Linked DNA regions of Saccharomyces cerevisiae S288C. The main gene of each other region encodes a partner of the protein of the gene in region 3 in a complex. Each region holds a gene or a part of one and is shown on either strand. Other genes may lie near its edges. The genes, in order: REF2, YSH1, SSU72 and PTA1.

Region 1 (7,506 bases), on a different chromosome or scaffold from region 3:
CAAAGAAATTGGCTACTATTACTTGAAGGGATATAGAATGTGTGTATTGGATGTGCCACTCTTATTTGAAGGAAATCTGGATTCAATATGCGGAGTGACTGTAAGCGTAATTTGTACGCAAGAATTGCAACTAGAAAGATTAATGACAAGAAATCCTGAACTTAGTGAAGAAGATGCAAAAAACAGGCTAAATAGTCAAATGAGCACTGAAGAAAGGATGGCAAGATCTGACTATATCCTACAAAATAACAGCACATTGGTTGACTTATACGAACAGATTGAAAGTGTTGTAAAAAAAATCCAACCTAGTAAATTAAGAACTGTTTTGGAGTATTTCCCACCTTTTGGGGCCGTAAGTGCCAGTAGCATCGTCATGTCCAGATTACTGATGAAAAAACTTCAAAATAAAAAGTCTTCAGCGGTATAAGGTTGATATCTTATAATTACATTATATAAAATGAGTATATATACTACATGTTTATGTATCAGCATGTCATAGCTTAGTGTACTGGTCTTGGAGGATATTTATTTCTTTTTACTATGGGGACATGCTTGTATGGCAAACCACCTCTGTCCTTCCTTAGTAATAAACTATTTTTACCGAAAGCCTTTGCTATAGTCGGGGTTGAGTTCGTATTTCCATTTAAGTCGAATTCTATGGGTTCTCTTGGCGGCCTTTTATTCAAGTCCGGGTTGAAATGATTGAAATTTTTTCTATAGATCAACGGGGTCCTTGTTTCACAATGTATTGGGCCACCTTTAGTCTCGGATATATCCATATAGTCATCACTGTTTGTGTTCTTCAGAAACATCAAATCAAGAGGTTTTAATTTGATTGACATATCCTCGAACAATATAATTTCCTTCGGTTCCCCCTCCTTGAATGGTTTCAGAATTTTTTTCAATTGAGTAGGAGAAACTTGTAGCCCTTGGTTCGGTAGATCGTCACCGTAAACTTTTATTAGTTGGGAATCATCCAAAAATTTGATGCTACTTATGCGTGCTTTTTTCGGTTTACCATTTCTCAAAATCGATTGTACATTAGAGTCTTGCACGGATATTTTGGTTTTTTTTTTTAAGGGCTCTTCTGAAGAAGCAGGAGTCGCTACCGTTGTGGTTGACGATCCTGACGTTGACGAAGATATGATATTAGAAGCCACCGTGGATGCTTCGGGGTTGACTTTGAAATCCACATCTATTGACCGTTTAGTCCCAAGCTTGGTCATATCTGCGTCATCCTTGTTCAGATATTTAGAAAATGATAGTTTTTTCTTGGAAGAAGTAGGTAGAGATTCTGTAGACTTAGCTTCATTTTTATTGAATAAACCCGACTTCAATTTCTTCATTGAAGAGGTAGATGCAGTAGGCGATGGAGAAGAATTTTTGTCATCGTTATTGAGCAAAGGAGAAGGTTTTAATTTAGTTTTCATCTTGACTTTTGATTTATCCTTCTCCTTCTCCTTTTCTTTTTCTGAATCCTTTATCTTTGCTTTCGAACTAGCCAATTTCTTTTTGAGGTTGGCCTTTGTACCAGTACTATTCGAACCCTTTTGGAAACCCAATGTATCTAATAATTTCATATAGGATCGTACATTTTCAGCAACGGAAGTATCCAAGACGCATAAATTGATGACTGCATCTACCAGACCATCCATTTTAGATAATCGATTATGGCTATTTTTATTCAGGATTAAATTGTCAATGTAATTTTTCCTTTCCTCGGGAGAAAACTTAGGCAATTGGTTAACGAAGAAGTCCAGGGAGACATCATTAGCGATGGGCGGTGTAGAGTGGTGTTGTTTCTCATGCTTTAGTTTAATTAGCTGGTTCAAATAATCTAGATACATTGATTTTAAGCCAGAATACAGCTGTATATCTGCTTCAGTCACGTTCTTTTCCTTCCGTTCTATGTGCAAGTTATCTTTGGTAAACTGATTCAAAGCCGCTTGCAAAGAATCGATATACTTGTCAATTCTTGCCAGTTGAATGGAAGATAATTTGCAATCTTTATTAAAATCTACCATATCCAAACGAATTTGCTGGATAGTGGAAGCTTGCAAGGCATGAGAAATATTTACTAATTGAGGAACAGGTGCTGACATTGTTCAATTCTTCCACAGTGTCTTTACTTATCGTATCGTTTCTTTTCTTTTCCTTTCTTGGTCCTTTCGATTTCCTTGTGCCTTTGCTTGTAGGTTTTTGAGCTTTAACCTCACTTACTCACACGATGTCTTGATAAAAGTATATATAATATATATAATAGACCCGCCAAAAGAAACCGTTGGTGTGCCGACGTGATACAGAGCGGTAGAGTACAATACAGTACAAAAGAGTTATGCTTGTTTTGTTCTGCCTCCAACAGTGTATGCTTGTTAACAAGTGCCTCAATCGAATATCATCGATTTTTTATACCGCCTTGAGAAAAACTGACGAAAAACGCTGGCGCCGGAGAGTCGTGTATCGTGATATATCGTGATTTACAACTGGTAATATATAGATGAATACCGTACCCAATTCTGATAATAACAAGTAGGCTGGAGTGATATATGGCACTGTTTTATTTCAAAAAAGCAAATTAGCAACCTCAAAGTGTCTTTACTTATGGATGCTTCAATCATCATCTGTTTCATTCTCCGTCTGTAGTGATATTATAGAAAGAATAAAATTTTCCTATAAAAAGAAGGGAAGTATTGATGGCCACTATGGTGTCTCAGAGTGGCAAGAAAATACCAGAGTTGCACGTTAGGCTGATAAATGTTGACCTCTATATTGATAAAAGGTCGCACACCTGTTCTTGCAAGCAGAAATTTATTAGCAGCTCTCTCGAATTGCAACCATATTACTTGGGCTGTTTCAAGAAGATTATACAATGATGGAAACAGAGATCAAAGAAATTTTGGTAGGAATCAGAGAAACAACAACAGTAACAGGTATAGAAACTCCCGTTTCAATTCTCGCCCAAGGACAAGGTCTAGAGAAGACGATGATGAAGTGCACTTTGATAAGACCACTTTTTCCAAACTAATTCACGTCCCAAAAGAAGATAATAGTAAAGAAGTAACGCTGGACTCTTTACTGGAGGAAGGAGTCCTTGATAAAGAAATACATAAAGCCATTACCAGGATGGAATTTCCCGGTTTAACTCCTGTACAGCAAAAGACTATCAAACCAATATTATCCAGTGAAGACCATGATGTTATCGCAAGAGCTAAAACCGGTACAGGTAAGACATTTGCCTTCTTGATTCCAATTTTCCAGCATTTGATAAATACGAAGTTCGATTCTCAATATATGGTAAAAGCTGTTATTGTCGCACCAACAAGAGATTTGGCCTTGCAAATCGAAGCAGAGGTGAAAAAAATCCACGATATGAATTATGGCTTGAAAAAGTACGCTTGTGTCTCTTTAGTTGGTGGTACTGACTTCAGGGCAGCTATGAATAAAATGAATAAGTTGAGACCAAACATTGTAATTGCCACTCCAGGGAGATTGATTGATGTTTTGGAAAAATACTCCAACAAATTTTTTAGGTTCGTAGATTACAAAGTGCTAGATGAAGCTGACAGATTGCTAGAAATTGGATTCAGGGATGATTTAGAAACTATTTCTGGTATTTTAAATGAAAAGAACTCCAAATCAGCCGATAATATCAAGACTTTGTTGTTCTCTGCTACTCTGGACGACAAAGTACAAAAGTTGGCAAACAATATCATGAATAAAAAAGAATGTCTCTTTTTAGACACAGTAGATAAGAATGAACCTGAAGCACATGAAAGAATTGATCAGTCTGTCGTCATTTCAGAAAAGTTTGCCAATAGTATATTTGCTGCTGTGGAGCATATAAAGAAACAAATAAAGGAAAGAGATTCTAATTACAAAGCCATTATTTTTGCACCAACTGTTAAATTCACATCCTTTTTGTGCAGTATTTTAAAGAATGAATTTAAGAAAGATTTACCAATTTTGGAATTTCATGGTAAAATTACTCAAAATAAAAGAACAAGTTTAGTTAAAAGATTCAAAAAAGATGAATCCGGTATTTTGGTTTGTACGGATGTGGGAGCCCGTGGTATGGATTTCCCAAACGTCCACGAAGTTTTGCAAATTGGTGTTCCATCTGAGTTGGCTAATTATATTCATAGAATTGGTAGAACAGCCAGAAGTGGGAAAGAAGGATCTTCTGTGCTATTCATTTGTAAAGATGAATTGCCATTTGTTAGAGAGTTGGAAGATGCAAAAAATATAGTCATTGCCAAACAAGAAAAATATGAGCCCAGTGAAGAAATAAAATCTGAGGTCCTAGAGGCAGTGACCGAAGAACCGGAAGACATATCAGATATTGTAATAAGTTTAATCTCATCCTACAGATCCTGTATCAAGGAATACAGGTTTTCTGAAAGGCGCATACTTCCTGAAATTGCTTCCACTTATGGTGTACTGTTAAATGATCCTCAATTAAAGATTCCAGTATCCAGAAGGTTTTTAGATAAATTAGGTTTGAGCCGTAGTCCAATTGGTAAGGCAATGTTTGAAATTAGAGACTATAGTAGTAGAGATGGAAATAACAAGTCCTACGATTATGATGATGATTCAGAAATTTCTTTCAGAGGCAACAAAAACTATAATAATAGGAGCCAAAATAGAGATTACGATGACGAACCGTTTAGACGCAGCAACAACAATAGACGCTCATTCTCCCGTAGTAATGATAAAAATAATTACTCCAGTAGAAACAGCAACATATATTAGAAAAGATAAAAAAGGAGGACCAAGAGATGTGGGTTGTATTTTAAATAACAATTCCTCTATTAAGACGCCTGTATTTTAGACCCCATCTTGATTCAATACTTTCACGTGTAAATACCTAGTATATAAATATTAAACAAAAATTTTTTTTCTTCTCCTATTCTCTTAAAATGATAACTATACGAAGATCCTACTGGTATATTTATTCGTCAATGCTTATTTACGACCGGTACCTCCATTCTTACTTTCGCTCTTCCTCCTCTCAAAGGAAAAGTAATTCTAACATTGTAATTCTTATTTAAACGGATGGAAGAAAGCTTTTGAGAATTTACTTGAAAAGTCAGGGTGTCTTAGGCGATTGATCACGGACATAGCCATATTACGAAAACTTCATTCTGAATATTGCCAACGAGACAATCGTGGGCTTGGTAATCGTTGAAAAATTTTCACATATTTTATGAACAGCTGAGCCTATTAACAATGAAAATAGTCTATACGATAGTCCAGAACTGAATAACAGTGTCAATCACTTTTTTTTTTATGATTAAATCCTAGTTAAAGTGCCGCTCTGCGAAAGAAAAATCAATAAATACCATTTGTTAGTGATCTAGCAATAATATCAATGACATCTTGTCTTATCTTAAAAATAAACAAAAAATTCTTTACAGTGTACTGAGCATTAATCTGGCTACGGCCTGGAGGGAAATTATGTCTTATACGAATTTTGCTCCGGCAATTCTATTTACGCTGTTTAGCTTATCATGCGATTTCAACCTTCTTTATATAGTAAATTAGCTTCGAAATAAAAGTATTCGCGAGAGGACAAGACATGAAACCTAAACCACGACGCTGAAGGTAACGACATCATAATACGTTTCAAAGGGCTAACCTTAATATACTGACATCTAGAAATATATTAATTCTGCATATCAAGAAACACGCCGACTGAGGGTGCAAGGTATTTGAAAAAAAATAGTGAATCAATAGATGAGCGCACAATGTTTAAAGTACTATAACACTGAACTGTTGTACTTTAACGCAAAAGCTCATCAAGCTATCATTAAATTTCGACCCGAGCAACGACTCAACTGTAATGTCAGCTTTCGGTAACCCATTCACGTCGGGTGCTAAGCCTAATCTTTCTAATACAAGTGGTATCAACCCTTTCACAAATAATGCTGCTAGTACCAATAACATGGGAGGAAGTGCATTTGGAAGACCTAGTTTTGGAACAGCAAACACAATGACAGGAGGAACCACCACTTCAGCATTTGGAATGCCCCAGTTTGGTACCAATACAGGCAATACTGGCAATACGTCAATTAGCGCTTTTGGGAACACCAGTAATGCGGCTAAACCGTCAGCATTTGGAGCACCAGCATTTGGTTCTAGCGCCCCCATCAATGTTAATCCGCCTTCTACTACGTCAGCATTTGGAGCACCGTCATTTGGATCAACAGGTTTTGGTGCTATGGCGGCGACAAGTAATCCTTTTGGTAAAAGTCCTGGCTCAATGGGCTCTGCATTTGGTCAACCAGCTTTTGGAGCGAACAAAACTGCTATCCCTTCTAGTTCGGTTAGTAATAGTAATAACTCCGCATTTGGTGCTGCGTCAAACACGCCCTTGACCACAACTTCTCCTTTTGGTTCACTGCAACAAAACGCATCACAAAATGCATCATCTACATCGTCAGCGTTTGGCAAACCGACTTTCGGCGCAGCTACTAATACCCAGTCGCCATTTGGTACTATTCAAAATACAAGTACAAGCAGTGGGACAGGAGTATCCCCATTTGGCACATTTGGAACTAATAGTAATAACAAATCACCTTTTAGTAATCTACAGAGCGGAGCAGGCGCTGGTTCTTCGCCGTTTGGTACTACAACCTCCAAAGCTAACAACAACAATAACGTGGGCAGTAGCGCATTCGGAACGACGAATAATCAATCTCCTTTTAGCGGAGGTTCTGGGGGCACCTTTGGTTCTGCTTCTAACCTCAATAAAAATACCAATGGCAACTTTCAATCTTCTTTTGGTAATAAAGGGTTTTCATTCGGAATTACACCACAAAACGATGCCAACAAAGTCTCGCAATCGAACCCTTCATTTGGGCAAACAATGCCAAACACAGATCCGAACATAAGTTTGAAGAGCAATGGTAACGCAACCTCTTTTGGATTTGGACAACAACAGATGAATGCTACTAATGTCAACGCTAATACGGCCACCGGAAAAATTAGATTTGTTCAAGGGTTATCTTCTGAAAAGGACGGTATTCTAGAATTGGCCGATCTCGCAGAGGAAACACTGAAAATATTCAGAGCAAACAAGTTTGAACTAGGCCTTGTCCCTGATATACCTCCACCACCTGCATTGGTTGCATAGTAAGGTCAAAGAAAAACATACAAAATGGTAACTTAAACAATATATATGAATATATATATATATCTAATGAAAAATGCATTAATTTTATCTCCAACCTTTTTTGGTAGGACAAATACTTTCTATAATAATGAGGTAACATGCTGACAATCTCCCAGTACAACTAGGTCTACAAATTTCAAAGAGTCTAGCACATTCTTAGGCGGCATACTGGTGTTTAAATATAACACAATACCCCTGTTTGCATGGACTTTGGCCGCAAACTGCCTGCAAATATTTTTCACTCCGGGAATCTTCAAACTCGTTCCAACAATAATCAAACAATCAATTCTTTTCTTTAAGTCATTATTGGCAATTTCACCGATAAAATCACCTTC
Region 2 (8,267 bases), on a different chromosome or scaffold from region 3:
TTGGACAGAGAAGAAGGGCAAAAATGTAATTAATCGGGAAAGATTCATAAGTAAACTATTCTTAAGAGGTGATTCAGTTATCGTTGTGTTAAAAACCCCTGTTGAGTAAAAAGTAAGACAAGCAGCCCTCAATCAACAAGGAAAGCAAATCATCGTAAGAAACTTTACAGTCAGCGGAAAGCCTTTTTTTATTTTGGAAGTAAGACCAATTATTATTGGCTGATTTTCTAGCTCTTGCGAAAGTATTATATTCAAGAAAACGAATAAAGCATCTATATTATCACATTTAACTAAAGAGCATTTTTAATAAGTAGATTTTTACATAAAATATAGAATAAATATCAATATTATTAATCATTTGAAGTTCTTCAACGGGTCTACTTTACCATTCTTTGGCTTACTGACTCTTCCCTTTTTATGTGAATGGCGCTTCTTAGCATTGTGGAAAGGAACAAACTTGACTTTGGTTCCATTTCCTCTGGCTGATTCAGGAAGCAAGTAATCTGGAACACGCTTTAAATGCTGTTGCACTCTTGCTGGATGTAATTCTTTATCGTGTCTTAAACTTTGTAGCTCTTTTGGATTCTCCTCAAAATGTCTTTTCAACTTCTCACTTGCCAATAGTTCTTGTTTCAACTCTTTGACCCTAGCTTCTCTAATGGCAACTTGAGTAACAGCACGGAAACCGTCTTCCATTCTGTAACGGAACGCCTCGACCTGCTTTTGATCGAATTTGTAAGGCTGTAATTCTAATCCAAGTTTGCTCTGTTGTTTGATGATTCGTGAAAGAATCCTTTCATCCTTCTTTGCTGTCTGTAGCATTGATGGCTTATGCTTACCAAATTCTTTCAGTGGGACTACGAATGAAATTGCAGTACCGGTCTTTCCGCCACGAGCAGTTCTACCTACTCTATGCACGTAGGACTTAGCCGTCGTAGGTAAATCGAAATTGAGGACACATGCAACATTTTTGAAATCAACACCACGAGAAACACCATATTCCTTATCTTTCTTCACTTGGACCTTCTTTTTCTTGCTTGGTTTCTTATCGTTCTCAGGCTCGCCTTCCAAGCTTTTTTCTTCTTGATTTTCTGTATTGTGCCCTTCTTCTATTTCGTCATCTTCCTCTTTTATGTACTCGGTGTCATCTGTGGCAATCAATAGTTGGTAAACGTTTTTATTGAATTGGTCAACAATATGTTGCCTCGAATTAACGGGTAGCTCGCTGTTTAAAATACAGGACTTGATACCAAATTGTTCCATAACTAGCTTGAGCCTATATCCTCTGTCAATATTATTTACAAAAATTAATGTTTTACCCTTGATTAAGTTAAGTTTAAAAATGACATAGCATAGTAAGAATTTGTCAAATTCACTGACTTTAACGTAATATTGAAGTAATTTGTTTTGGTTCTTATTTATTTCCTCGTCATTGAATTTAAGAATAGCTGGAGAACGACAAAATTTTTGTTTCAAAGCCTGTATATCGTCATTTAGGGTTGCACTCATCAAAAATGTTTGTAAATTTTTTTTCAATGGTAAGTACTCTCCAATTTTGTTTAAATCATCTTGATAACCAAATGTTAACACTAAATCCACCTCATCAACTACTAAAAATTTTAGTTCGTTCAATGAGATAGAATTAATCTTTGTTTGCAACAAATCCAATAATTTACCAGGTGTACCAACTATGATTTCTGGTTGATCCATAAGTAGAGTGCTCAAAACTGAGTCAGACATATCGGATGATATGTTCAGAGTTCTTATATCTTTTGAACAATATAAGACTAGTTTTTCTAAAACATTATATACTTGTTGAGCCAGTTCTCTTGTTGGAACAAGTATAATACCTAGTGTACCATTTTCCTCTCCGTTATCAATTGTTTTTTTATATTCTAGGATAGTTTCAATTACAGGAATGAGGTATGCCAAAGTTTTTCCGGAACCTGTAGCGGCCTTTGCTATAATATCTCTCTTCTGTTGTAAAGCCAAAGGAATAGCATGTGATTGAATTAATGTTGGGTACTGAAATCCTATATTCTTAATAGCTTGTAATAAACGAGAGTCGAGATGAAATGCTTCGAACGTTGTAGAATCGTCAATATAAGCGCCTTCCACAGACTTTTTCTCATAGCTCATTTTTTTGATCTTTCGTTGCAGTTTTGGCTTAGTCTATTTCTTTTGTGAGATAAATTGTAGATTGACTATAACTATCAGCCAAAACAAAAGGCTCTTACTCAATGAAAGAAATTAGAAGAATCGAAATGAAATGAGATGAGATGAGATGAGATGAGATGGTCTAGAAGAGTTATTCTTTATGTTCGTGAAAAAAAATTTTTAAAATTTCATCTCTAGGTTTCATTACGTAAAGAGTGATTAAGGTAAACAATAAAAGGCAGTTCTAACCAGATTTTGGTTTGGTATTACTTCTATAAAGTAGTCTACTTAGTATGCGTAACTGTTTTTAACATAGCGGTGTGACCAAATTACCACCAATATTTAAGAGGCTTTCCACCCTACCTTTCAAAGGATTTGAATTACATTCTAAAATTTTCATATTGTTGAAGTCAATCTTAGCAGTGCTTTTACCTATGGTAACCACTCCAGTTATAGTTTCCTCTTTATTACTTGCATATTCATCTTTATTGAGAAATAAAGTAAAACAGTCACCAAACTGTTCTTTAAACAACCTTGAGATTTGCTTCACCCTCTCAACTTCATCAATCTTACCTTGTGCATTAGACTGCACATTGTTATGATCATGATCATCACAAGAATGACTCGAAAGCTTGACACTGGCGGGAGCTGAATCCACATTCATAAGTATAGCAATAATGGAGTCTGCTACAGTGTCATTCATTAAATCTTGAGTCCATTCCACAACGGCTAGAGTATTAACAATAGTTAACTTAATATCACCCATTATCTGTAGAATCAATTTACCTGTATTGGTCAGATTGTCTTTTGACTCTTCTTTAACCTTTGGTTCTTGATTTGTTACTCTATCATCATCTTGAAGAACTTCAGCCTCTCCAAACATTTGTAAAATGTGCCAGTAAATTAGCTCCTTTTTACAATTTACACGAACTGACTGGCGCTCTCTTAATATCGTTGTAGAAAGATCGGGATGGTGCTCTCTTAAATCAGACAAAGAAAGGAAGTCTAATTCGAAATTTTTGTCATCTGAAACTAGAATCCCAGAAACGACTATGTCTTTGTGTTCCTCTTCATCAACCAAACCTTTTTCTGCTTGAGAATCCAAGTTGTCTTCGTTTTCTTCCTTTATAGGTTCAATTTTAGCCGCAATTTCTTCCTTTATCTCTACGTTTTCTTCTTTATATATTTCGTTCACAATATTTCCCACAGCTTTTGCAACCTTGACACCTTGAAATTCAAGATCTACTTCAACACAGTTTCTAGGATTAAAAACATGGACTTCATTATCTGTACCCTTTAAAGACGCGAAATTGGATAACAATGCAGATTTCAAACGGCCCATGGGATTGGCTTCTCCATGAACAAGGATGATATTTGGCGCACTAATCTTTTCAATAAATTCTAAATTTTCCTGGAAGTCAACGTGTGCGGCAAAGGAGATTTCTTCAACTTGACAACGTCTTGGAATGGTTATTTCCGGATTATTTATGGAAGGTATTGTATCTGGCTCAAGCATAATAAATTTCGCCATTGTTCCTTCGATGGAGTAACCGGTGATTAGTACTAGATTTTTATCTTCAGGGCACCACCTTTCAAGTAAATCTCTTGATAACCCACTTTGCAGCATACCTGGTGAGGCCAACATCACACTGGGACCAAAATCTTGGAAATCCTCCAAGTTTCTAAGATAAGATATATTTTTGAATATGAAGGGATTAGTCTGAGAGTCTCTAAATTTTTTTCTAATGTCATCATTCATCATATTTACATAGGTTTGAAAAACGCTCATACATTTTTTTGCCAAATTTGATGCATAAAATATTGGGACTTGTCCACCACCGAGTTCATCAGCATGTTGAGACCAGTACTCATCCAGTATAAGCATGATTTCTTGAGCTCTCCCTAAAGCAAAAACAGGCAGTAGAACACGGCCTCCTCTCATCACTGTGGAATGGATTAGTTGGGTTAGCTTCCTTTCTCTATTTAAACGGGGCTCGTGAGTAGCGGTACCAAAGGTAGATTCCACAATTAATACGTTGGATGAAAGTGGAGGCACCTCAGCAGAATTTAAGTGACGATCTACTTCTCTCGAATAGTCACCTGTGAATAACACCCTAAGGCCAGCAATCTCTATTTGAAACATCGCTGCACCCAATACATGGCCTGCATGGAATGCCGTAAATTTGATACCATTGACGTCAACAGTAGAATGATAGTCCACCGTTTCAATTTTATCGAAAGAATCAACTAAATCCTCATCTGAGAATAGACCTTCGTCTTTAGTCCCCATAGAGGAGGATGAAGAACCTATACTAGTAACTCTTACAAAATCTCGCAGTAGCCATCTGTAAATGGCTTTGGTTGGATGTGTCATGAAAACTCTGCCTTGAAAGTTAGTCCGTTGCATCACATACGGAAGTGAAGCGGCATGGTCTAAATGGAAATGTGATATCAGTAAGATATCGACTTTGGAAAGATCAAATTCATCGTAAAAAGGTAATGAAGCTAATCCTTGATATGCCGGATGAATTCCTGCGTCGAGCATCACTGTTTTACCTTTATATTGCAATATATGACATGATCGTCCAACTTCGTTACTTCCTCCCAATGAAAAAAATTTGAATGTTGTTGTATTTGTTCGCTCCATATATGCGTATACTTATTAATGTTAACTTATTATGTTACTTTTTATTTCCTCAATGGACAAAATTCAATTGATAATACAATGTTTCTTTTGTGCTGTAACTTTTGAAGTACTGAAAACAAGGGTAAAAGAAATAAACGCTTATACCCGTGAACATTTTGAACCTATTAGATGTGATCTCAATATGTATTGCGCTGAAGCAGTAGAAGTTGTTAAAGATCCGCTAGTTTTTCATAATTTTCGGCCAGAATAACTGCTTACCCGTATTTATTTGCAAACACGCTACTTAGTCTTTTGGAGAGGACTTTATACAGGAAAGAAAGAGTTTTATTGATTTTAAAAACAATATAAATGAAAGAAAAAAATGTGTTTTAGATTAGGCTTATAAGATATGACCCATATCATAATTAAAAAAAGCGATTTAGTTGTTCTTTTAAAAAAAAAGAGAAAAAAAAAAAAAAAAAAAAAAGGAATGAGTTTGTACATACTATTATATTAATGTAGTATCACGTTAAAAAGCCGTAGTCATCATTAATCGTCCAAAAGTCTTCTACCGGACCAGATGTCATCATGTTATCCCAGTTAGAACGCTTTTTCCTGATGTCTGCGTTAGTTACTGTAGGAATAACATTGTCGAAATGCAGATTTGCGCTAGTGTTTGCTTCCACCTGTGTTTTAGGTCCATTCTTCTCTGTTTCGTCAAGATTATATTGTACACCTTCCTGATTGGACATCATGAACAAATTTCTGTTATACGAAGGGTCATTCTGCGTCTGTTGAAAATTATTAGCGGTTACATTGTTTTCAGAACACATATTTTGTTGTTGATGTTGTTGCTGCTGTTTGTCCATGGACAGAGATGAAGGCTCTTGACTCTGGGGAAATATTGTTTGTAGTATGGACTTGCTATTCAAAGCATCTAGAACGGAGTTATTGGTCCAGGTGGAAATATTGTTGATCATGTCATGAGCACCGTTGCTGAAAAGTATATCGCCCGAAGAAGAGCCATTTCGAGCTTGTTTGACACTGACCGGAATTGAATTGCTAGTAAATGACGCTGGTATCGAGGAGATAATATTATTGCCATAATCTGCTCTTAGGGGTGATGTACTGAAATTTGATTCTTCGACATCTCTTAATTGCTTATTTTCACTTGTATGGTTAGAGAATATTGCAGATTGTAGAGGATTACTGTTGATCATACCATTGTTTAATTGATTCGTAAAATTGCTTTCTGAGAATCTTTGTGGAGAAGTAATATGTTGTTGTGGCTGCTCCCGCTGTTGTTGCGGCAGTGGTCGTGATACATGCTGTTGCGGTAGCATATTGGAAGTTTGAGGATATGGAGTTGGGCTTTGCGTCATCGCTATTGGAATCGGATCCGAATGCGAAGAGGCTGTAGATATGCTAGAAGATTTTGAAGGACTTCTATTGGTCATAGTATCGGTGTTCAGGGACGATAGATACGCTTGTAAATTGTGCTGAGCTAGTTGCTGTTGTAGAAAGGCCTGCTGTTGAAATACTTGCCAATCAAACTCTGTTTGGTTGGTTGGTTTCTTGACGATATATTGGTCTTGAATAGGCCTTTCTACATCATTTTCCATAGTTACGTTGTTGTTACGAACATACTGGCTGTTGTTGCCATTATTGCAGCTGTTGTTGGTAGTGCTTCTGCTATTACTTTCATTATCATTATTATTAACATTATTATTATTATTACTATTATTATTATTATTGTTATTATTATTATTATTATCATTATTATTGTTGTGATTATTGTTGTGTTCTCTGTTGACGCTGCTGATGGTCATACCATTGTTATCATTGTTTACATTGATTTTCAGGTTTTTTTCTTGGGAAGAAGGAAACGATAATGTCGACGATGATGACGAAGAAGAAGATGATGACGAAGAAGATGTTGTATAAGACATTGAAGAATTTGAAATACGTGACCTGTCATCCATTTTGGTTAATAGGTGAGCTAAACTTTTGGGTACAGAGGTCTTTTCTAAAACACCTTGCTTCTTCTTGAATTTCTCTTGTTCAGCCAAATCCACTTGTGAATTTTCCACAAAACCGGCGTGCTCTTCAGCTTGTCCTTTACCAAATATTCTAGCCACAGCAGGCGGCATACCGCCATTATGAGATATATTTTTATCGTTTGAATTGGATAGATTAGCTGCATTTGCGGAGTTAGAATCATGAAGAGTATCCCCAGATGAAATTGCCTTATTGGCCTCATCATTGATGTTCTTGGGTTCAGTACGCTTGGCGACACTACTAGCCATGAAAATTAACTCAGAAGAGTCTGGACCACATCTTTCAATCAAATTACCTACCGTGGCATTCATTAACTGATCGAAAGTATCTCTAAAGGTTCTTGCAAAATTAGACCTTTCTGTCATAACATATAAACAAACGGAGCAAGCTCTCAAATCATCCATCGTCGAAAAGAGACTTGCACTGATTAAAGGTCTAGTATGCTTCGAAGCATCGCCTAATTTCTTCCTCCTTTGATCGTCAAAATTCCTGGCTAACCACATACAGTAGATTAAAGTTACGCCAGCTACAAAAACCGTATGCACTGCTGGTGTAGAATGACCATTAAGCGTTTTTTGATGGAATATCTTGTATAACTGACAAATTTGACCCGCAGCAGCTTGACATTCTCTAAATAGTCTATCCTCCGGGGCGAAAAATTCCAAATATGGTTGTATAAGCAATCGCACTGATCTATAGTAATAAAGTTTTAGTGTCTCGTTTTCGAAATTTTTCACGTCAAGAGTGGAATAACTTTTTCTCCAAACTTCCAAATCTTCAAAAAATTTTCGTACTAGGGGCAATTGATCAATGGATTGCTTCACTGACCTGGAATCGTTTTTCAATAGCTGTAAAGTCTCTACAAATTGAGATTCAATTCTTCGCAGCTTTAGAGACTGATTGATGAATTGCACACCATGGTCATTGGTTGATGGAGCCGCCGCATGCACACCTTTTGTATAAAAAGAGTCGTTATTGAAAAGAGGTAAATTTATTTCCGACTCCTTGATTGTATAAGGTTTCCCCACAGCAACACAAATCATTCTTTCCAACAGGTAAACACACCAAAATAGTCGCAGTTTCTTATTTGCAAATGGATCATTAGGATACCATTGATTTAGATGAAGTTTCTTCTTGGATATGCCCATGACATCCTTGATTATGTCATATAGTATCAGAGAATCTCTATCAGTCCTAATAATGTAAAGGACAAGCAATGTCAACAGTTCTATTTGCTGAACATAATTCAAATGTAGACCACACTTAGTGATGTGACGGATAGCGGTGGAGAAATATCGGTGAGGTGGAAACCCCTTGTACTTACCTGTGGTCATCAGTAAGTAGGCGCTGATGCTGAAGACAAGCCACATTCTGCCGGATAGAAAATGAAATTCTATTTCAGAATACGAATGTGAATTCGACGGTG
Region 3 (6,620 bases):
AATTTCGCACTCCTGATAGCATTAGCGTCAATAGTTCTTCATTCTCCCTTACATTCTTCCCACGTTGTATCATTGCTGTATCTTGCACACTACTCGAACGAGGTCACCCAAAGGACAATGCAAGAATATATCAAGTTCCAGAAAAGGACTTAGAGCATTGGCTACAATTGGCAAAAGGGGTTTACCGCCCAAACGGAAGAAAAGATCATGATTTGAAAATTCCACTTCCAGAGGTACATGATTTGATTGGTTTTATTACCAGCGGCACCTACCACTTAAATTGTGGAAATGGTATGGGAATCGGATTTATAGATCATCATGCGGCCATCCGGCAACCAACTAGGTATGTACTGATCAGAAATGTAGGTACCAACACTTATAGGTTGGGGGAGTGGTCGAAAATATCCGTATAATGAACTGAACTGAATTATATGTACGACCGATATCCTATAAAGCTATGTATACAGAGGGCAAATAGCAATCATATCGCGCAATAATGGTCTTTTTGCTTCCTGGAACTCTATACGTACACATTTAGAGATTGAAAGTGGCAACAAATCTTATTATATGTTAATTTAAATACGGTGATCTACGCTGCCATCATAGGGCTCATTGATTCATTCCCTAGCTCTTGAAAATGTCAATGAAATTATTACCCGTCTTTGCACCTTTTTTTTTTCTAAGGCGACGAGTTTTCCATTGGCAAGACGTATAAATAGAGAGAAGAAGTTCCATTTAATAGAACTATTTTACAAACATACTTTTAGCGTTAAAATATAGTTTTTTCTTGAATTTTTTTAAAATCCTCATACTTACCTTAAGATATCAGAGGAGATCAAGAAGTCCTACTGATCAAACATGCGCTTCCAATAGTAGAAGGACGTTAAGCATTTATCATTGAACTATAATTGTTCATTGAAGTCATTGATGCAAACTCCTTGGTCACACACACATACGGCGCGGAAGGCGTGTTTGCTGACGTTTCCATTCCCTTGTTTCAATCATTGGTTAATCCCTTGATTCCTTTGGGGATTTTTGGGTTAAACTGATTTTTGGGGCCCTTTGTTTCTTCTGCCTGGAGAAGTTTGACACCAAATTCAAATTGGTGTTAGGGGAGCTGGGGCCTTTCAAAAGAGAGCTTTGTAGAGGCATTCTTTTTGACTACTTTTCTCTAGCGTGCCATTTTAGTTTTTGACGGCAGATTCGAATGAACTTAAGTTTATGATGAAGGTATGGCTGTTGAGATTATTTGGTCGGGATTGTAGTTTGAAGATGTGCTCTTTTGAGCAGTCTCAACTTTGCTCGTTCCCGTTATGGGAAAAATTTTGGAAGGTCTTGGTAGGAACGGGTGGATCTTATAATTTTTGATTTATTTTCAGAAATAAATGGAACATTTTTCTATTTATTTCTTTCTTAAAGTACTGAAACTTTTAAAGTTTCATGCTTCTATTTTCTTCATTTCAGTCCTATATCTGGTGATGTGTTTTGGAATGAAACCTGTTATACGCTACATTGAGACAAGACATTGTCCAGCTTACTAAAAATACAGTGTGTTGTATATCAAGCTTCTTGATAAAAAAATAGCTATGTGGACAACAAGCAAATAATGTGCTTAAGAGAGCCGCAACAAGAAACGTAATATTATATAATGAATATAACTAGGAAGCTATCGAAGACTTGTGAAAGTATTGAAATTTCACGGATAATGTAGGATTCATGAGGGCCGCTTAATGCTTATGCTTTTCTACAGTAATTGACCGTTTTGTTTAGTAATATGAAGGAGCGTATAATGACGGTAGTTGAGAATGTGAGCTTTGCCACTCAGTTAAAATGTCCATTATACAATCTTCAAAGGGAATGTCATCTTTTTCACATTGTTCTATTTTATCATTGAGCATATCAGCTAATTCCAATATAGCTTTGCTACCAATTTTAGCATTTTCATCATCATCTTTAATGTCAACATTAATTACATGCACTATTTTGTTTAATTTCCCACCTCTATTCATCAAATCTTCACAAACGGCATCAAAACATCTCTCTTCACAAGTGAAAACGAAGTCGAAGACTTTTGTACTTTCTTGCCATTTTTCAGGTGCTTTTTTGAGTCTTCTATTACGATCCAGCATTTGCAATAAACCGTTCGACTTGTAACGGTCTGCTGATTGTGATAAAAGATCATTATATATATCATTATAGGGTGTACCAAATGAGTACACATTAGGCTTATCTATCGATAGACCAGGCAGTCTCACAGCTGAACCTGTTCCGTAAGAGCTAACATTATAGCCTGCTTCTTGCAGGACTTTATGCGATTCCATTGAACGATTGTTGTTTGATGCACAAACTGTGCAAAACTTCAAGTTTGAATTGCGATGACTAGGCATTTTGGACTTCGACACTAGTTTATACCACCGTTGTCTTAATCTTCTTACAGGTGGTCTTTAATTCGTGCCGACTGGCCTTTTTCTTTATTATCTTTCGTTTTTTAAGTTCTTTCCACTGCCGCAGACGAAAAATACGTAAAGGATGATCAAACGAATAAGAACAAAAGAACTGGATACCTCAGTTTTAGGGAATATATTAAAACAAGTATATATGCTTATGAACTAGTGAATTCCTTACACTAGCATTTTTCATCAATAGGACTGTGAATACCTACCGTTTCCTTCTCTACAAGGACGCCTTCTACTTCATAATCTGTTAAATTCGCATTAACAGTGTGTGTGTTTCCCATAACAACAATCTTCTGTTTCTTGCAATGAATATCTTGAAAACAATCATATTCGTCTACATCTTCTGTATTTGTTGTGTGTGGGAATATTGCACCAATATCTACGTAGTCTCCCTCTAGTACTCCGAGATTTTCATTATTGCTTGCATCTTTCTTCATTGAGTTAGAACTTACACTTTCCACGTCATCCATACTACAACTCACATCAAAGTCATCCATTCTCTTAGCAAGAACATTGATAATAGCAGATTCTGCAACTTCTAGCTTCCATTGTTGCCAGTCTTTTTCGCCCTTAATCAAAATACCAATGAGCATCGAGGGATCCATTTCCGATAGTTGCAATTTACCAAATTTACTGGTATGGCACGACTCTACAAATGAATCTTCTACTGCCGGTTGAGGAATATGAGGATCGAAATGTAAAAATTCATTTCCTTGATAACCAAAAAAATACAACGATGAAGACGGCCTACCGCCGGCAATGCCTACTGACTGTGTTGAACTTAAGATACCACATATACTTTCTCTATAGCTCTCATTTACCGCATTAATCCCGAGCTTCACGCCCAACAAGAACAATATTCTACTATTTGGATTCTCAGCAAATACTTTTTCAACTTCATTTTCATAGATATCGCCGGATGAAACAGATACTATACAATCATCGATGCCACATTCGGGGAAGCCATATATTAAAGATTGTATACTCCTTGCCGTAGCTGCGGGACCAAACCATTCACCTGGTCTTTTATCAGAGAGTTCTGTACCTGCAGAAACAAAGTTATGTAACGAAAATGGAGCCTCAGGCGTGTCATTAAACCAATTTACAAATTTTGATTCTCTTTCCAGACTTTCGTTACCATTTACCCTGAAATCTCTGCCCAAATGAAGGATTTGTAAGGCATTCCCCAACAAACTTTGTCCTGTCCTTATCATACACCCCCACCCAATATCAGTGTTAAAGCAATCAGGATTTGCTATATAGTCCTCTATTGTACTGATCGGATTTGTACGTACTAATAAATTTAGACTTAAAGGTGAAGGCCCATCTGGCGCCCTTGCTATAGGAACAAATCTTGTCCGATATGTAAAGTTGACCCTTGATTGTACATCCAAAAGAAATTCCTTTGTGTAAGAAGAAATTTCCCTACCAAAAAGAGAGCTTAAAAACCCGTCACTAACCGCTTCACCGCGATATCGACAGTCTTGTTCACATTGTTCAGCGCCAGATTCTTCGTCTCGCTCAGGATATACTTCCCCTAATACTATATAATCATGATTCATAAGAGCAGCCGGTTCTTCGGACGAGCCTTCAAAAACGCCATGAGACACTTTTTGTACCAAATCCATTTTCCACAGTTGTAGCCACCTCTGCATGTATATCACTCCTATACGTGATAAGAAGTCGTCCATTCTTCATCTACTAACGTTATTGTGTGTATATTTTTACTTTTTTCCTTTGAGGCGCTATTGTTGGCAGCTGCAACGGTCACCGCCTAAAGAATAAAAGTGAAATTTGACATTTTACAATTAAATAAGATCTGAACAAAACAACAACAATTAGGCCTGCGCAGAGTTTCTAGAAGGAAGAAGTGATTTAATCGCAGAGTCAAATATAAGCATAAATTGTTGTAACCGTCAAAAAAAATGGCAAAAAGGCATAGTCATTATCAAGGAAGCAGACGTAGGCATGCACGTGGTAGCAATTCCAAGAAAGCTGGCAGGGGGAATGCTAAAGGCATACAAGGCAGAAAGATAAAGAAAAAACCTACTCCCACTAACAGTTGGCATAACTCTTCTATACCACTAGGAGAAGGTGATCTTGATGATGTAGGCGCCGACTTCAACCCAGGAAGAGCATTCATATCACCAAAAACTATAGAAGACTATTATTTTGGTCGCGATGCCAAGAGCCGTTCTATGAAAATGGGTGGTTTAAGACCAGGTAATCGATATGATTCTTCAACTGACCTACAAGCAGGAAGGGCAGCATTCCGCAAAAGACCTATGCAATTTGTAAAAGCTAAGGAAGTTTACGATCCATCCCACAATATGATTCAAAAACTGAGAGCAAAGAACGAAACAAAGAACAGTGAAGAAATTGTCGAAAGGGAAGCAGACGTTTTTGAAGAACCAGGAAAGATGACTTCTGATGTTGAATATATTAACAATGAAGACAGTGAAAACGAGGATGATGATAGTCAGAATTCACCCTCGACGGACCACTCGCTGTCTTCGAATGAAAGCAAAGTTGAAGATGGTGACCTGTTTTTTGTAGATGAAGAGGCTCAGCAATCGCCGGATCTAACCAAAATAAAAAGAGTATGTATCGAGGAAATCGCAAGGCCAAGAGAAGTTGCGATAGAGTTCGATCCTATCTTAACAATTGGAAAGGTTGAACTTAGCGTTTCCGAAGGTAACGAAAGCAAGGAAATTAGTGTTGACGTTCCAAATAAGGGTAATAAGACATATCATCCATTTGCTGGTTACATTTCCAACGTATTACATGGTATGCATACTAGCGACTCGGACAATGATGAACTAGACTACGAAATAGAAACAGAGAATAATAGTGAACCTTTATACGAATCCTCAGCAAGTTCTGAGGTTGATCAAGGGTTTAATTATGTTGGCCAACGTCACAATTCCCGAGCTGACAACAATCTTTTACCAAGCCCTAGTCCGCAGTTGACAGAAGATATAAAATGTCTTTCAATAAATGGTACCAAAACATTCGAAGGCAATAATGATAATCTGCCATCTCCTGCTAGCGAAGAGTTAGAATTTGGATTCAAAGAAGAAGATTTTGTCATAAATACTAATGACATAGTGGTCTCCAATATAAGAATGGGCGGAGTAGACAATTCATATTATCTACGGTGTTACAGATTACTGGGAGATTACGACTTTCATTGGATTGACCAGGACTTACTCACAGACTTCGTTGTAGACGAGTTAGGTCTTCCTGAAGATAGATTACCTGCATATTTGAATTTTATTAAAAATTCTCTTATACCAAAAATTGAACCAGCTGAGCCAACCTACTCAGATATTCCGATTTCTGATTCGAGTGATGAAGGTGACAGCTATGAAGGCGACAGCTATGAAGATGATGAAGATATGGCCTCCTCGGTTGTGCATAGCGACATTGAAGAGGGTCTGGACGACCTAATTGCATACACATTGAAACATGATACAGAAAGATTCAAAACATTTGAAACCAAGTCCTTGGAAACTAAGGGTAAAGGTAAGAAGAAGAAGCTACTCATCGATGACGCCTTAGCGCTGGATACAGAAACGTTGGAGACGTTACAAAGTAAGTTTAGTAAACGCATAGAAACCAAAGCAAAGAAAAGAAAAGCCAAAGAAGATTTCATTGATCAGGAGAATAGAAATTCGAACGATATGCTCAAGAAATACCCATATGGACTCCATATTCAAAATATTAAAGATGAATTTGAGTCCTTTTTGTCTAGGAACAATGATAGACTGACTTTCCCTCCATTAGATCCTCATGGAAACAAGACCGTAATGAAAATTGCGAAGCATTATAATATGAAGAGTTCAAAAATTGGGAAAGCAAATCATACGTCGGTTGTTGTAGAAAAAATAAAGAAAACGAAATGGTCTTCTCCGAATTATAGTCTCATTGACCAATTGATGAGGCAGAGGCCAGTATTCATGAGAATAGATATAAGAAGACCGAGGGAGGAACAAGCTGCTTTCGAAAGAACTAAAACAATCAGAGGGAAATTTCATGTTAAAGAAGGTGAGATTGTTGGTCAAAACGCTCCAGAGATTGGAAACGAAAATATCGGTAGAAGAATGTTGGAAAAGCTTGGGTGGAAAAGTGGAGAGGGCCTTGGTATTCAAGGCAATAAAGGTA
Region 4 (8,717 bases), on a different chromosome or scaffold from region 3:
CAATCTCAGTGCCCACTTCTGGCAACTCAACATAGGTAGCGTCCCCTAAGGCATCAGTGGCGTATTTTGTAATTCCGACAAAGGCAGTCTTGTCCTGATGCACAGCTATCCACTCATGTTGGGAAGTGTACCTCACGGCTTGAGGTCCTTGGGATGAGTACAAAAATGGTAGTTTATTCTTGTTTAGGGCATTGCCGGAGCTGTTTCTCAAAAACAATTTGCTCACAGTGGGCATGCGGGTGGTCCATAGTCTAGTAGTGCGTAACATTGTCGATGTGGTATGCTTCATGTGGAGATTCCCTTTCCCATTAGATACTTGTTTGTTGGTCTGTATATATAGAAGAAAGAGTTAGCGAAAGTGACTCCGCCGCTGAATGACTCCTTACGGAAGTGTCAAAATTGCGAGGTCCCTATAGCACAGAATGATAGATAAAACATTGATTTGCAAGTTGAAGGAAGACCCTACACATGCGTATATATGATGTATGTAATGGTTGTGATCATTTTAGCCTGTCAAGCAGTGAATCGCACTGCTTGTGTAAGCCTTCATCTTCTTGCTTTAGCTGATGCAGCAGGTCGCGAACAGTGTCCTGCACTGGGGGTCTAAACATAATGAGAAACTTTAGCGTTTGGAAACCAAGGGAACTTCTTGCCGGATCCAGGCAGATAGGCTTCAGTGCCTCAAGATGATCGCTTTGAAGACTGGGCAGTTCGCTCATAAGTCTGATGAAGAATCGTCTGTGTTTGTTTTCAAGGAATGGACCCAGAGACTCGAGAACTCTTAAGGACCATTTTTTGTAGTTAGAGGGATCTTGATGCAGCGAGGTTTGGAAGAACCATTCTTCATTGAGCCATTCAATGATCAGACTGACACGTTGCTCGAAATCCTGGATGAAGAAGCCAAGCAGTTCTTCACGAATCAGGTCACTGGCCTCTTGTGCTTCGATTCCTCTCGTAACCAATCTGATTAAGACGTGTAACCATGACGAGGAGTCGTCATCGTCCAGTAATATGGAGGAGGAAGACGAAGATTTGGCCCGGGTAGTATCCTGGCGACCGGATAATTCAAACAGTTTCTTGGTCAGCTTTGAGAGGTACTTTAGTTTTTCATCCTGCGTCAATGAGTCAGGTTCAAAGGGGGGTGCGATCTCCTTAATGGCAGAAGTTGATTTGTTGGCATCTCCTGAGATTTCTTGGGCGCTTTCCTCTTCTTGAAGCATCTTCTGCATTCGGTCATCGTCTTCGGGCTCCTCTGGTTCCTCCGCTAGTGGTTCTGTTTCCATTTTGATTTTCTTGCTATTAGCCGTTGGGCCATCGTTTCCAACTTCTTCATTGTCGTTGCCGTCGTCATCATCGTCGGATTTCCTCTTTGATGATGACGAGGACGGTACAGAATTGATGTACGTATTCATTAAATCCGTGTACCTCGAAGCAACGATAGACAATCCGGTGATCAGTTTCGTGCTGTCCATTTGCAAGATGGCCTCTGTGGACAGCTTGATAAGTATGTCATTGGGTAGCTGGGTCACATCCTGGTTGGAGTTCGAACTGTTCATCAATGAGTACACAGATGAGTAGGTGTTGCTGATTGGTTTGGGTGAGTTGTTGAAAAAAGTATTGCCCTGGTGTGAAGCCTTGTTGAGGGTGTATTTTTGCAATATCTTCAGTTGATCAAGCATGTTTTCGGTTGAAGAGCCCGTTGCAGGTGCGGACACAGGCGTGGGGGTCTTTGTGGACACCCCTAGAGTAGACAATAACGCGGATAATTGCCTTTTCCATAGTGAGATGTATTTTAGTTTGTCCTGCCTGGACAACGTTTTCTTGCTATTGCCCTTGGAAGGGTCGAAGTTCAAAATTCCCTTGCTCTTGGTCTCTTCGCCAATAACGTGTAAAGTTTGAGAAATCTTGGTCAGCTTGGAGTAGATCGATGACCCTGATCCGGATGAGAGGGATTTTGTAATGATTTGATTTTTTAGCCCAAATTGCACAAAGTTCTTGTACGCCCTTTCAACAAATCTCTTGGATAGTTTGTAGTTCAAGTCAGACTTGCCCTCTAGGGGAAACTTGGCGTCGACGTTGAAACGCAACAGCCCGGAAAGAATTCTTATTGTTGTCTGCGGCCTTCTTTTGATGACGAAGGATAAAGAATTGATGATACCAATGAAAACGGACGAGACCATGTACTGTTCCTCAATTAGGTAGTTTAGCAACATATCAAGAAGCCTCTTAGCCTCGCTCTCCAAAGCCGGTTTGTTCAACACAGGGTGGTTATCCGGGATGGTAGATGAATTAATCTCGTTGCCGCTGGGTGATTTAGTTTGCGACAGCACGACCTCAGATATGAACTTGATGGTCGCTAATTTCACGCCGATATTTTGGTCAATCTGCGCCAGCCATTGTTCGACATCCGTTTCATCGTCAACGGTGGCACGCAAAGGATATGCAGTTCTCCAGTGCGAGAGCACGAACTTCTTCAGCATACACAACTGATCAAACATTTCCTGGTTTGATGTCTTAGCAACCAGATCCAACACCAGCGGGTATGAAGCGCACATAATAAGCACGATATTCTTGTACACTAGTACGTCCGCGGTGGATTGCGCCATAGCAAGAAGTAGTGGCAGATATTGAGCAGCAATAAACGGTCTCTCAGTATTCGCAATTGGAGAGTCCATCGACACCACGTCTAGAACTAACTGTGTAAAAAACTTGGCCAAAGGCAACTTCAGCTTGCTGAGATTACCGTTGTGGTACATGGATGCCGTAGTTTCGAGCACCTTGGGCAGCATCTCCGTTGGATTGTTGTGCATGGCCAGTGTCTTGGCCTGTAACAATTGTTCCATCTCTGCAGATGACATTGCGCTGCTTAGTGGTAGTTATATGCTTCTTGCCACGATTTAACCATTTGTTCAGTCAAGTACTAACGGTTAAAAGGTATCGAAATATGGCAACTTTTCACTTTTAGATCAAGTCACTATATACGACTTGAACATCAGAACGGCGATTTTCCATCAAGATGGAGTGGAAACCACGCCATTATAAAGGAAAGCTAGTTTTATGTCTCGTATACATGCGGAGTAGGACAGTGATATAACACACATAGCTAGACACAATAGACATCATGAAAAGGTCCACGTTGCTGTCGCTGGACGCATTCGCTAAGACCGAAGAGGACGTACGAGTCCGCACCAGGGCCGGCGGGCTGATCACTTTATCGTGCATCTTGACCACGTTATTTCTGCTGGTGAACGAGTGGGGACAGTTCAATTCTGTGGTAACAAGGCCACAATTGGTGGTGGACCGTGACCGACACGCAAAGCTGGAGCTTAATATGGATGTGACATTTCCATCGATGCCATGTGACCTGGTGAATCTCGATATTATGGACGACTCTGGAGAGATGCAACTAGACATTCTTGACGCAGGGTTCACGATGTCTAGGTTGAATAGCGAGGGTCGCCCCGTGGGAGATGCTACTGAGTTGCATGTGGGTGGGAACGGCGACGGAACCGCGCCGGTTAATAACGATCCTAACTATTGTGGGCCATGTTACGGTGCCAAAGATCAGTCGCAGAATGAGAATCTAGCACAGGAAGAGAAGGTTTGCTGCCAAGACTGTGATGCAGTGAGATCAGCATACTTGGAGGCAGGCTGGGCTTTTTTCGACGGGAAGAATATCGAGCAGTGTGAAAGAGAGGGCTATGTCAGCAAGATTAACGAGCACTTGAATGAAGGCTGCAGGATCAAAGGTTCTGCACAAATTAACAGAATTCAGGGGAATCTTCACTTTGCCCCTGGAAAACCCTACCAGAATGCATATGGACATTTTCATGATACTTCTTTGTACGACAAGACTTCGAATTTGAACTTCAACCACATCATCAATCATTTGAGCTTTGGGAAGCCGATCCAGTCCCACAGTAAGTTGTTAGGAAACGATAAGCGCCACGGCGGCGCCGTAGTTGCCACTTCTCCCTTGGACGGACGCCAGGTGTTCCCGGACAGGAACACACACTTTCACCAGTTCTCGTATTTTGCCAAGATTGTCCCCACCAGATATGAGTACTTGGATAATGTTGTCATTGAGACCGCGCAGTTCAGCGCCACTTTTCATTCCCGACCTCTTGCCGGTGGAAGGGACAAGGATCATCCAAACACACTTCACGTTAGGGGTGGTATCCCTGGTATGTTCGTCTTTTTCGAAATGTCTCCATTGAAAGTCATCAATAAGGAACAGCACGGGCAGACTTGGTCGGGCTTCATCTTGAATTGTATCACCAGCATTGGTGGTGTCCTAGCTGTGGGCACTGTCATGGACAAGCTATTCTACAAAGCACAGAGATCGATCTGGGGCAAGAAGAGCCAGTAGAGGAAGAGACTGTCATAGGGAAGAGCCCTTTCTACATACTACTACATAATATATATATATAGTATAGAAATTGGTATATCACTACTTGTACAAATATCATATTGTACGATAATCGCGAAGAACGACGCACTGGTGGGAAGAAGTGGAAAACAGAAGCTTTAAGGTAGAAACAGAACAAGAATGTGGCTATGGTAGGATAGCAGAAGAGTACCATTGCTGTTATCATTTGTTGCCTAGCCCTATCAAGACCTGTCTGCTAATCCAACCCGAGAGATCATGGCGATCCAAACCCGTTTTGCCTCGGGCACATCTTTATCCGATTTGAAACCAAAACCAAGTGCAACTTCCATCTCCATACCCATGCAAAATGTCATGAACAAGCCTGTCACGGAACAGGACTCACTGTTCCATATATGCGCAAACATCCGGAAAAGACTGGAGGTGTTACCTCAACTCAAACCTTTTTTACAATTGGCCTACCAATCGAGCGAGGTTTTGAGTGAAAGGCAATCTCTTTTGCTATCCCAAAAGCAGCATCAGGAACTGCTCAAGTCCAATGGCGCTAACCGGGACAGTAGCGACTTGGCACCAACTTTAAGGTCTAGCTCTATCTCCACAGCTACCAGTCTCATGTCGATGGAAGGTATATCATACACGAATTCGAATCCCTCGGCCACCCCAAATATGGAGGACACTTTACTGACTTTTAGTATGGGTATTTTGCCCATTACCATGGATTGCGACCCTGTGACACAACTATCACAGCTGTTTCAACAAGGTGCGCCCCTCTGTATACTTTTCAACTCTGTGAAGCCGCAATTTAAATTACCGGTAATAGCATCTGACGATTTGAAAGTCTGTAAAAAATCCATTTATGACTTTATATTGGGCTGCAAGAAACACTTTGCATTTAACGATGAGGAGCTTTTCACTATATCCGACGTTTTTGCCAACTCTACTTCCCAGCTGGTCAAAGTGCTAGAAGTAGTAGAAACGCTAATGAATTCCAGCCCTACTATTTTCCCCTCTAAGAGTAAGACACAGCAAATCATGAACGCAGAAAACCAACACCGACATCAGCCTCAGCAGTCTTCGAAGAAGCATAACGAGTATGTTAAAATTATCAAGGAATTCGTTGCAACGGAAAGAAAATATGTTCACGATTTGGAAATTTTGGATAAATATAGACAGCAGTTATTAGACAGCAATCTAATAACGTCTGAAGAGTTGTACATGTTGTTCCCTAATTTGGGTGATGCTATAGATTTTCAAAGAAGATTTCTAATATCCTTGGAAATAAATGCTTTAGTAGAACCTTCCAAGCAAAGAATCGGGGCTCTTTTCATGCATTCCAAACATTTTTTTAAGTTGTATGAGCCTTGGTCTATTGGCCAAAATGCAGCCATCGAATTTCTCTCTTCAACTTTGCACAAGATGAGGGTTGATGAATCGCAGCGGTTCATAATTAACAATAAACTGGAATTGCAATCCTTCCTTTATAAACCCGTGCAAAGGCTTTGTAGATATCCCCTGTTGGTCAAAGAATTGCTTGCTGAATCGAGTGACGATAATAATACGAAAGAACTTGAAGCTGCTTTAGATATTTCTAAAAATATTGCGAGAAGTATCAACGAAAATCAAAGAAGAACAGAAAATCATCAAGTGGTGAAGAAACTTTATGGTAGAGTGGTCAACTGGAAGGGTTATAGAATTTCCAAGTTCGGTGAGTTATTATATTTCGATAAAGTGTTCATTTCAACAACAAATAGCTCCTCGGAACCTGAAAGAGAATTTGAGGTTTATCTTTTTGAAAAAATCATCATCCTTTTTTCAGAGGTAGTGACTAAGAAATCTGCATCATCACTAATCCTTAAGAAGAAATCCTCAACCTCAGCATCAATCTCCGCCTCGAACATAACGGACAACAATGGCAGCCCTCACCACAGTTACCATAAGAGGCATAGCAATAGTAGTAGCAGTAATAATATCCATTTATCTTCGTCTTCAGCAGCGGCGATAATACATTCCAGTACCAATAGTAGTGACAACAATTCCAACAATTCATCATCATCCTCATTATTCAAGCTGTCCGCTAACGAACCTAAGCTGGATCTAAGAGGTCGAATTATGATAATGAATCTGAATCAAATCATACCGCAAAACAACCGGTCATTAAATATAACATGGGAATCCATAAAAGAGCAAGGTAATTTCCTTTTGAAATTCAAAAATGAGGAAACAAGAGATAATTGGTCATCGTGTTTACAACAGTTGATTCATGATCTGAAAAATGAGCAGTTTAAGGCAAGACATCACTCTTCAACATCGACGACTTCATCGACAGCCAAATCATCTTCAATGATGTCACCCACCACAACTATGAATACACCGAATCATCACAACAGCCGCCAGACACACGATAGTATGGCTTCTTTCTCAAGTTCTCATATGAAAAGGGTTTCGGATGTCCTGCCTAAACGGAGGACCACTTCATCAAGTTTCGAAAGTGAAATTAAATCCATTTCAGAAAATTTCAAGAACTCTATTCCAGAATCTTCCATACTCTTCAGGATATCATATAATAACAACTCTAATAATACCTCTAGTAGCGAGATCTTCACACTTTTGGTAGAAAAAGTTTGGAATTTTGACGACTTGATAATGGCGATCAATTCTAAAATTTCGAATACACATAATAACAACATTTCACCAATCACCAAGATCAAATATCAGGACGAAGATGGGGATTTTGTTGTGTTAGGTAGCGATGAAGATTGGAATGTTGCTAAAGAAATGTTGGCGGAAAACAATGAGAAATTCTTGAACATTCGTCTGTATTGATAAATAAAACTAGTATACAGCAAATACTAAATAATTCAAGAAAAAAACATTAGATAGAGAGGGGCAGATGTTCAAGCTATACCCATTATATTGATCCACACTTAGTATTAAGATACGTCTGTGAAGGATGAAAAAAAATGTATAATGTGACTAGAGGAAGTAAGGAGAAAAAACGATAGTAATCGTATTTTAGGTTGTGCGTTTTTATAATTTTTTTTTTTTTGTAATTCTATGCAAATGTAATATAAGTATATTTAAAGAAATAATGAGTCCTGTGAAAACAAAAAGAAAAAAAGATCATTAATGTATGTTAACGTATTTGCTTTGCAAATTTTAATTTATTTGTTGTTAAATGCATTTTTTTTTTGTCGTTTCAGCGAGTTTTCTTGAGGTTGCTACTATCATTAAAATCACAATCCACAGAGGAAGTTGATCTCTTTTTCAGTTGGGTGGGGGCAGAGCATGGGTGAGCAGTGGCCATGGGTCTAACAGGAAATAATCTTTTTGAACGCACAGATAAATTTTGTAATAATTTTCTATTTGACATTAGAGATGGGGTGGTGGGAGTTAGTGGGCTTGGCCAAAAGATGCTTGAATTTTGTGGGATGCTCAGTGACCTTTTAAAAGAATTTTGGGTAGAAGAGAACGAACCTGAATGTGAATGGTGTGATGCAGAGTCTGGGGTCGTCATTGAACTTGAAGTCTTGTAAGGGGAATTGAATGGAGATGGAGAGGATGAAGATGAGGTTGGAGTGAAGGCAAATGGTGGAGAAATGCTATCTTTGGTCAACCTTCTTAAATGAGTGTGATCCGAGAAATAGTCTGTGGCCGCAGATGAAACCGTAGCGCTCTTTGGAGTAGTAGCATTTGAGTAAACACAAGTCAATGAATCGCTGTCAAAGGACTGAGCAAAGATAGTATTGTACATGGTTTCCAATTCTTGTGAACGGTAGAATTCTTCCAGTTTCAATTGAATACAATAGTTTTGTAATGCGTCTAAGAGAGATTTTGCTAAAGATGTCTTATTGCTATTCAAATATTTTGATTTGAAACTGGAGGGGAAAGAATTTTGGTCCATTGCTATATCCAATAAAGTATTAGAGATTTCTGACAATTTAATATCTAGGTCTTGGCAGTTTTCCTCCAAAGCCAGATTGATATTTTCCCAAAGGTTTGAATTATAGTAGTTCAAAGATAATTTGATGAGGTTAATTGCACCCAGCGCAATTAGTGAACGATCATATTTAAATGATAATTCGAGATTGAAGGAAGCTAACTCGCACAACATAATGGCACCCAATTTGATCTCGTTGATGTTCAAAGAGGGGCCTTGAGAAGAGGACGATTTATTAATAGCAGTACCAGCAGCGTTATTTAATAAGGCCAGTTTCTGTTGAATGAAAGCTTCCAAAGGGGCAGAAAGGACAACGCCAGGCGATAACGGGGACGTAGATTGGAACAAGAAGATGTCGATGTAGGAGTCGAATGTTGCCGACTGACAGATGGA

The links.
Region 1: SSU72 (region 3) and REF2 share a complex: the UniProt entries of both Saccharomyces cerevisiae proteins name them as parts of the APT complex.
Region 2: SSU72 (region 3) and YSH1 share a complex: the UniProt entries of both Saccharomyces cerevisiae proteins name them as parts of the cleavage and polyadenylation factor (CPF) complex.
Region 4: SSU72 (region 3) and PTA1 share a complex: the UniProt entries of both Saccharomyces cerevisiae proteins name them as parts of the APT complex.

What each region holds. Positions count from the first base shown.
Region 1 is NC_001136.10:843,195-850,700, reverse strand, and holds REF2 (RNA-processing protein REF2), read right to left. Parts: upstream 2,103-7,506; coding exon 501-2,102; downstream 1-500. Other genes in the region: CAB5 (putative dephospho-CoA kinase), read left to right, coding at 1-427; YDR194W-A (uncharacterized protein), read right to left, coding at 2,478-2,630; MSS116 (ATP-dependent RNA helicase), read left to right, coding at 2,755-4,749; FG-nucleoporin NUP42, read left to right, coding at 5,840-7,132; NAD-dependent histone deacetylase HST4, read right to left, coding at 7,252-7,506. UniProt on the Saccharomyces cerevisiae protein: RNA-binding component of the cleavage and polyadenylation factor (CPF) complex, which plays a key role in polyadenylation-dependent pre-mRNA 3'-end formation and cooperates with cleavage factors including the CFIA complex and NAB4/CFIB.
Region 2 is NC_001144.5:694,692-702,958, forward strand, and holds YSH1 (cleavage polyadenylation factor subunit YSH1), read right to left. Parts: upstream 4,805-8,267; coding exon 2,465-4,804; downstream 1-2,464. Other genes in the region: mRNA splicing protein SMD2, read left to right, coding at 1-109; DBP9 (ATP-dependent DNA/RNA helicase), read right to left, coding at 355-2,139; YLR278C (uncharacterized protein), read right to left, coding at 5,308-8,267. UniProt on the Saccharomyces cerevisiae protein: Component of the cleavage and polyadenylation factor (CPF) complex, which plays a key role in polyadenylation-dependent pre-mRNA 3'-end formation and cooperates with cleavage factors including the CFIA complex and NAB4/CFIB. Has endonuclease activity.
Region 3 is NC_001146.8:224,861-231,480, reverse strand, and holds SSU72 (RNA polymerase II subunit A C-terminal domain phosphatase), read right to left. Parts: upstream 2,388-6,620; coding exon 1,767-2,387; downstream 1-1,766. Other genes in the region: ribonuclease P/MRP protein subunit POP1, read left to right, coding at 1-413; cysteine protease ATG4, read right to left, coding at 2,627-4,111; SQS1 (Sqs1p), read left to right, coding at 4,382-6,620. UniProt on the Saccharomyces cerevisiae protein: Component of the cleavage and polyadenylation factor (CPF) complex, which plays a key role in polyadenylation-dependent pre-mRNA 3'-end formation and cooperates with cleavage factors including the CFIA complex and NAB4/CFIB.
Region 4 is NC_001133.9:58,195-66,911, forward strand, and holds PTA1 (RNA-processing protein PTA1), read right to left. Parts: upstream 2,859-8,717; coding exon 501-2,858; downstream 1-500. Other genes in the region: GCV3 (glycine decarboxylase subunit H), read right to left, coding at 1-268; retrograde cargo receptor ERV46, read left to right, coding at 3,122-4,369; Rho family guanine nucleotide exchange factor CDC24, read left to right, coding at 4,646-7,210; cyclin CLN3, read right to left, coding at 7,584-8,717. UniProt on the Saccharomyces cerevisiae protein: Essential in pre-tRNA processing. Component of the cleavage and polyadenylation factor (CPF) complex, which plays a key role in polyadenylation-dependent pre-mRNA 3'-end formation and cooperates with cleavage factors including the CFIA complex and NAB4/CFIB.